Linked DNA regions of Schizosaccharomyces pombe. Changing the gene in region 1 together with any one later gene gives a genetic interaction. Each region holds a gene or a part of one and is shown in the gene's direction. Other genes may lie near its edges.

Region 1 (3,758 bases):
TAACTCTTGAGCCGAATCCTCACATATTTTAGTTAAGGCGCTGAATGCTCCTTCTTGAGTGGTAGAAGCAGGGCTAGAAAGCATTTCCATTAATTGTGGCAATACTTCAGGCCAAGTACTAATTCCCCAACGACTAATGATTGTAGTGATCACATTACCAGATATGCCTCGAATGAGTTGTTCAGGGTCACACAAACCGCGAATAACTGTTGACTTTGTGTAATCGAGGCTCTGCAAACCTGAACCAGACTCTAAGCTTGAAACACGAACATTGTTCTTCAACAAAAGACCAGCAGCAGATCTAATTGAAACACTAAGCTCCGTAGCGTTGATGAGAATGCAAGTAAGGTAATTATTTAGATCTGGTATATCCTTTGCTTTCTCAAGCAACTATAATAAAGTTAGTTATGCCATTTGATTTCTTCTTCACACGTCGTTACACACGTGAAGTAAAAAGAAGCATCTTCTACAACGAGAAAGAAACTTTTAATTTTAGAAAAAAAAAATCTTACATTTAAAGCAGCATTCCTAGTCTGAGAGTTTTCGGAGAGTGAATTCTTTATCACTTCTGAAAGTTCTACGAGGACTTGTTCCTGGAGAACCCAAGGATTGTCCCCCATCTTACTCTGTACTTACTGTAAGAAGTTGTTGGTAGTAGTTCTCTGATGAGTGTGGGGAAGGCAGGTAGTACCATTCCAAGCAATTCCAAGATTTACATTTACCAGAGTGGTATGCTATGATTCGTTAAAAAATAAATGGATTCCAGTATTTGTTTTCACATTTAAACATGTATTGACAGGATTTTTCTACCAAGTAAAAAGTTCATATTGCAAATTTCCCGTAGACGCATCTCAACACTCACAGCACAGTATAATGATCTCATGTATTAAATAAATTAATTTACAGAATAAAAAAAAAAGAATTTTAGCACGTAGCTCCCCTATATCACTTTAAATTTGTTGATTTTTCTTCAAAAAATTTACGAAAAGTCCATTGGGTTGCATGTTACCTGCTGACGAAGAGAATAGCACTGTCTATGGAAAACCATGCAATGTTATTTAGGAATTTAGGGGCGGATTGATATTGTTTTGAATACTAAAAAAGAATTATATTTAAGCTCCATGTTATTCAAGAGAAGTATTTGAGCGACAAGCCATGCGCGGATAACACCATTGAGTTTAAATTACTATTGCTCGAACGTGGCAATATTTTAACTTCTCCAATTTATGTTCAGGCCCAATAAACACGTGCAAAGAAAGCTATTGAGTAGCATAGACAATTATCTAGGTCAATCATAAATATGTCTAACTCTGTACATTAACCATAAGAAGAATTATTCATCGTTATAAGGAATGGCTGCGTTCTCCTTATTTTTTTACAATATTTATGTATATACTTAATCACGTTAATATAGCTTACGAGTATACTGATTGCAACATTGTGTTTCGCTAAATATATATCGTTTCGCTACGAACTGCTCTTTAGTTTTCAAGGATGCAATAAAATACCGTAAAAGTTCTCCATTTTACCGGAATATTGCTGTATTCAGAATGCGCCCCTGGAGATGTTTATTGATATGTATACATATTCTTATAATAATATTGGAAGTGCGATAGCTACTAGTAAATTGATGAGTGCAGTTTAAATTTGATAATATTCTATATAGTTTTAATGATTAAATTAAGATTCAAATATACTAATCATCATTAGGACTTAACGGCATCTATTTATACGATATTTCAAAAAGATAAAAAGCATTTGACTTATACAGGAATGCAGTGTGCCGCGGTGTAATGTCCTATAGTGCAGAATCACAGTGTAACGTCAACATGACATTTACGCGGAGCTGGGCTGATGGAGTCGCTCCTCTAAACCAAGCATATTAAAAGGTGTAGTAATTTGAAAGGATTCATAAGAATTCATACTTTTAAAAGGTACTTTATTAGTAAGGAATTATTTAATTATTTATTATTATTTCTTATTCCTTGCTTATTGCTTTAAATTGAAGCTTTTTGCTTATTGACGATTTCAAAGTAAGTACACGATGCTTTGTTCTATGTTCATTTTAATCGCTTTTGTTCAACTAACCTGTATCTGCAGACATTCATAACATTTTCTTACGTATCCTTTCTTTTTGTGACTCGTCGTTGAACTTTCAATCGGATTCTTTAGTTTTCTGCTTTTCTGCGAACTTAATCTACAAATTGCCATTTGAAACTTTCGAGCATCACTGGGATTGGTATCGTTGTGAAAAATTATATGTCTAATACTTTCAAACATTGCTAAAATCAATATAATAATTCTTGAAATCCCCGAAATTAGAAGGATTTTTATCACATATTCGATTATACTTCTATCATTTGAATTATTCTCTCTGACTAACATTTAAAACATTGTGGCCTGTTGTATGCTATCAAGGATCAGATACATTCATTGCAAGTTAGACAGCGATCAATTATTTTGAAAAATTAAAAAATCATTTCTCTCAATCATAATTGAATCCCCCTGAACTTTGTTGTAGGAACAGATATCTCTTACCAAAGAAGTTCCACCAAACGTTCCTCTCATTTCTCTTTTGCTTTTAAAGCTTAGTTTCATTAAAATATGTCTGTAGATGAAAATCAATTGGAGAATGGACAACTTCTATCCTCCGAAAATGAGGCATCATCACCTTTTAAAGAGTCTATCCCTTCTCGCTCTTCCCTCTACTTAATAGCTCTTACAGTTTCACTTTTGGGAGTTCAATTGACTTGGTCGGTTGAACTTGGTTATGGTACACCGTATTTATTCTCACTTGGTCTTCGTAAAGAATGGACTTCAATTATATGGATTGCCGGTCCTTTGACTGGAATATTAATTCAGCCAATTGCTGGTATATTGTCCGACCGGGTTAATTCAAGAATAGGTCGGCGGAGACCGTTCATGCTCTGTGCTAGTTTGTTAGGAACATTCAGCTTATTCCTTATGGGCTGGGCCCCTGATATTTGCCTCTTTATATTTAGCAATGAGGTTCTAATGAAACGTGTTACTATCGTTTTGGCTACGATTAGCATTTATTTGCTTGACGTGGCCGTCAATGTCGGTATGTGAATTTAGGGATTTAGTTTTCAGAGTAGTAGTTCATACAAATGACTAACTTTATAACTAGTAATGGCTAGCACTCGATCTTTAATTGTTGATTCAGTCCGTTCAGATCAACAGCATGAAGCAAATTCCTGGGCTGGAAGAATGATAGGTGTAGGCAATGTGCTTGGGTACTTACTAGGCTATTTACCTCTATATCGCATCTTCTCCTTTCTCAATTTCACACAGTTACAGGTGTTTTGCGTACTTGCCTCCATTTCCTTGGTACTCACAGTTACCATCACAACAATATTTGTGAGTGAAAGGAGATTCCCACCAGTTGAACACGAGAAATCGGTTGCTGGAGAAATCTTTGAATTTTTTACAACTATGCGACAAAGTATTACCGCACTTCCATTTACATTAAAAAGAATTTGTTTTGTTCAATTTTTTGCATACTTTGGATGGTTTCCATTTTTGTTTTATATTACTACCTATGTGGGTATTTTATATTTACGCCATGCTCCTAAAGGCCATGAAGAAGATTGGGACATGGCGACTCGTCAAGGGTCGTTCGCATTACTGCTTTTTGCTATCATTTCTCTTGCCGCAAATACAGCACTTCCATTGTTGCTCGAGGACACGGAGGATGATGAGGAGGACGAATCGAGTGATGCATCTAATAATGAATACAA
Region 2 (3,758 bases), 2.6 Mb from region 1:
CTGTTGCTGAAGTATTCAAACCTCTAACAGTATCATTTAAATCTGTATTATCCTGTTCATCAAAATTCGAATATCTGTCAGATTCCTCTACCTCTTCGGCGTTTAAAATCATATTCACCGCGACTTCAGAAGGCATTTCTCCTTCGATCAGCGCAAAGAGTTTTTCACGCATAAGATCTCTAACCTTATAGTAACGACCGCTTCTATACCATCCTGTGTCCCGATGACATTCAGAACGTAACTGAGTATCTTTCAGTAGTGGTGCAATTGTGGGATCTACGATATCGCACACTTGATAAACACGATTAGTGGGAAACAAAGTCTTGCCATCAAACACGTGAGTTTTAGTCCCTTTATGTTTTCCATTTAGCTTGAGTTTAAAGAACAAAGCTTGGTAAGCAGCTGCATTAGAATCTTTTCTAGGATCGTATCCAAACCGCGTATATGTATCTCTAAATGGACCTGAAGTCCATAAATAAGAAAGGTAAGGAAGAGCAAATTTCAAATAGTGAGTATATGACGGGTCTAGATGATTTAATAAGGCTCTTCTCGTCCAAACGGGTCGTTTTTCAAAAAGAGGTTTTAAAGCTTCTATAACTTCCTGAATTGTCTTCGAAGGCTCACCTAATTTTGAGTGTCTACATGTAGGTACACTTTCAACCCCCATATTTGTAGTGATAATCCAAACTCTGCATTGACCTTTTAGATTGACTATTGTAGTTTTCCCATTAGGTAGCCGAACTCGACCTACTAGTGGATTTTGCAAGAAGTTATAAGACATGGGTAGACTTGTCTGAGAGAAAACAGGAGGAGGAGGCATGTCGACATGTTTTCTTTGTACCGGAGTTAGATCGATGGAAAACTTATTAATGGCGTTATAGTCAAGCACTCGCAGAGTGGAATCTAATTTTTGAACGAATGGTGAATTTTGAGTACTATACTGGAAATCAGCCATATCTCTGAATAAGAAAACTTGACGAATTCTACTGACATTTTGCACAGAGTTGTCCATTTTTTTAATCGTTACTAATAGGTCATTTCTGGATTGCACTCGAGCTTGTACTGGATGATGGTATTTATCTTTAGGCCTTAGATTCAACTCCAACAGAGCTTGTTTTGGGTTTTGAAATGAAGTTTGACATGCCTAGAAATTGTTAGTATTAGGTCAAAAAAGATTATCAAATTCATGTTTTATAAAAGGGGAAGCTTAAAGATGTAAGCCGGTCATTCCTATACTTTTTTAGCAATTTACCTTTTGAATTGATTGAACACCGCCTAATGTCTGAAAAAATGCATCCTTGTTATTAGCAAAGCCCGGATGCTCAATGAGTGCATATTCATTGTCAGAAATTTTTAGACTATTCATAAGATATATGCCTAATATGGTATGCTATAAAACACTGGAAAAAGTAGGGCAAAGACTTTATATATATTTGCTTTTAAAGTAATTTAATTAATAATCTGGATAACTTATTCCTCAAATGAAAAATTAATTGATACACATCAATATCATTGCTTCAAAAGCATTTTAATTTTTTGGCAGCTAAAATAATGTTGTTCCAAACCTCGGACATCGTACAACAATACAGTAACATCATAACACAAGATTTTTGCCGATCCGTTAATTCACAGTACCAGCCAATTTCCCAAGTACGTTATTTCATACTACCAGCCTTCGGTAGCGTCCCATAACATTCGAGCCACTCGCCCCGTTTTGCTTCATTTGCCAAACATAACTCATAGTAAAGTTGTCATTACAGGAAGTTTCAAGGTTAACCCTCTTAACTATTCCCTAGGGTGTTTAGCTTATATACCCATCTTATAAAGGGGCTCAGAATTCTGTTACCGAGGTTGTTGCCGTTAACTCTTTGACTTGCCGAGACATATTTACGGAGTACTTGAAAGGAACAAATCATTTATTTACCCACCACATAAATTTACCCTTTTCTAACTCATCATTGTGTACAAATTTATTAACAGACGTTCTTTTGAAGAAAGACAACGTTTACATATTCAGTAATAGGTGCATTCATTTAAGTTTCGAAATTACATTCGGTCCCAATCCTAGGAATCATTCGTTTTTTAAATTTGGTTATTCGCTATCTTTATAACTTGCAATTGAGCAAGGAAATCATCTCATTTGCCTTTTAATGAAAGGATTAAGGAGTAAATTTGTAAAAGCACTTTCGTTGAAGGATGAACAAGGGTCACATAAAAATGGTCATTCAAAAAGCCACTATATCTCTAAAAATGGGTCTTACGTGGAAACTGACGACGTGAAGCACACAGACACTCACCATTCTTCAAAACACGAGCTTAAAAAACTTAAGAGTCATTTCCTAAAAGATACTTTAAAGCACAAACGAAATCATCATGCCAACTCAAATAATGAAAAACATGAAAATTCTGATAAAAAAATACATACGACGGTTCTAGCATCTGGACATGAGGATTCTGATTACTCTACGTTTTTGCCCGTAATTGAAACTTCTAAAGTTAAAGACGCCAACCATTTCCCACCTAATTATCCAGAACCAAAAAATGTAAGTATACGTCGGTTAGTTTAATATTTTCTACCAAAATGATTATTTTCATACTAACTTACTTGTAGGATTCTGTATCGTCTAACATAGACGAATTTCCTAATGATTCCATATCTTCTGCCTCATTTTTATCTGTCCCACAATCCACTCCTCCTTATTTAGTTTCACAGCCAACTCCCTTAAATAAATTTTTAGCAGGTGCTGAGAATGTTGACATTCCGCATAGTCTTAGACCAGTACCTCGACGCGAACACTCCTCTCAATTTCAAGTATCTGAGAAAAGAACATTAGTTCGGTTGCCTTCATTTGATGGTACGTTTAGTAAGATTCTTATATCTTATTTTAATAATGTACTTTTTTTTATTCTTGTGCTAATATAATTAGATGTTCATACCTCTGAACGTGAAGAACTGTTTATAAAGAAGCTTGAACAATGCAATATTATTTTCGATTTTAATGATCCATCTTCCGATTTGGCTAGCAAAGAAATAAAAAGAGAAGCCTTATTACAAATGATAGATTATGTGTCTGAAAACCGCGGTATTTCTTCCGCATCGCTTTTTCCTTATGTTGTCAATACAGTATGTTTACTCCTCTGCTTTTTATTACTGTAAAAATCTAATCACTATAGTTTTCCCTCAATGTATTTCGGCCTATATCACCTGCTCTTAATGATTATTCATCAGATATGTTTGCTTTAGACGATGAGCCTTTTTTGGAGCCAGCGTGGCCTCACTTGGAAGAGGTGTATTTATTATTTATTAAGTTCCTAGAATCTCCTGACTTTAGAGCCAGTAAAGCAAAATCGCTCGTTGATCGTAGGTTTTTTAATCGCTTGCTAGCACTATTTGACACAGAAGACCCGCGTGAGCGCGAACTTCTGAAAACAACATTACATAGGATTTACGGAAAATTTCTGAACCTTAGGTCATACATTAGAAAGTCTATGAATAATGTTTTTTTGCAATTCATTTATGAACGAGAAAAATTTCATGGAATCGCTGAACTACTGGAGATACTTGGAAGGTATGTTTCATTAATGGTTATAGTTCCTAAATTGATTTACAAACTAACTTATTAGTATTATTAATGGATTTGCTGTACCTTTAAAAGAAGAACATAAAATATTTTTGTCCAAAGTGCTTATTCCTTTACATCAAACTAAATCTGTTTTTTTATACCATCCCCAACTTACGTATTGCATTGTTCAGTTTA

Evidence for each region.
Region 2: mutations in sut1 (region 1) and par2 together harm fitness more than expected from each alone (negative genetic interaction), as found in Schizosaccharomyces pombe (one large-scale study listed by BioGRID).

What each region holds. Positions count from the first base shown.
Region 1 is NC_003424.3:3,933,449-3,937,206, forward strand, and holds the start of sut1 (plasma membrane sucrose/maltose:proton symporter Sut1), read left to right. Parts: upstream 1-1,912; 5' UTR 1,913-2,033; intron 2,034-2,079; coding exon of another isoform or gene 2,080-2,385; 5' UTR 2,386-2,604; coding exon 2,605-3,082; exon of another isoform or gene 3,083-3,148; coding exon 3,149-3,758. Other genes in the region: karyopherin/importin beta family nuclear import signal receptor Kap104, read right to left, coding at 1-390, 513-620; SPOM_SPAC2F3.07C (uncharacterized protein), read right to left, coding at 2,080-2,385.
Region 2 is NC_003424.3:1,333,778-1,337,535, forward strand, and holds the start of par2 (serine/threonine protein phosphatase PP2A regulatory subunit B-56 Par2), read left to right. Parts: upstream 1-1,725; 5' UTR 1,726-2,150; coding exon 2,151-2,543; intron 2,544-2,611; coding exon 2,612-2,855; intron 2,856-2,927; coding exon 2,928-3,124; intron 3,125-3,174; coding exon 3,175-3,569; intron 3,570-3,624; coding exon 3,625-3,758. Other genes in the region: transcription factor TFIIIC subunit Sfc1, read right to left, coding at 1-1,144, 1,253-1,366. UniProt on the Schizosaccharomyces pombe protein: The B regulatory subunit might modulate substrate selectivity and catalytic activity, and might also direct the localization of the catalytic enzyme to a particular subcellular compartment. Has a role in cell shape control and septum formation.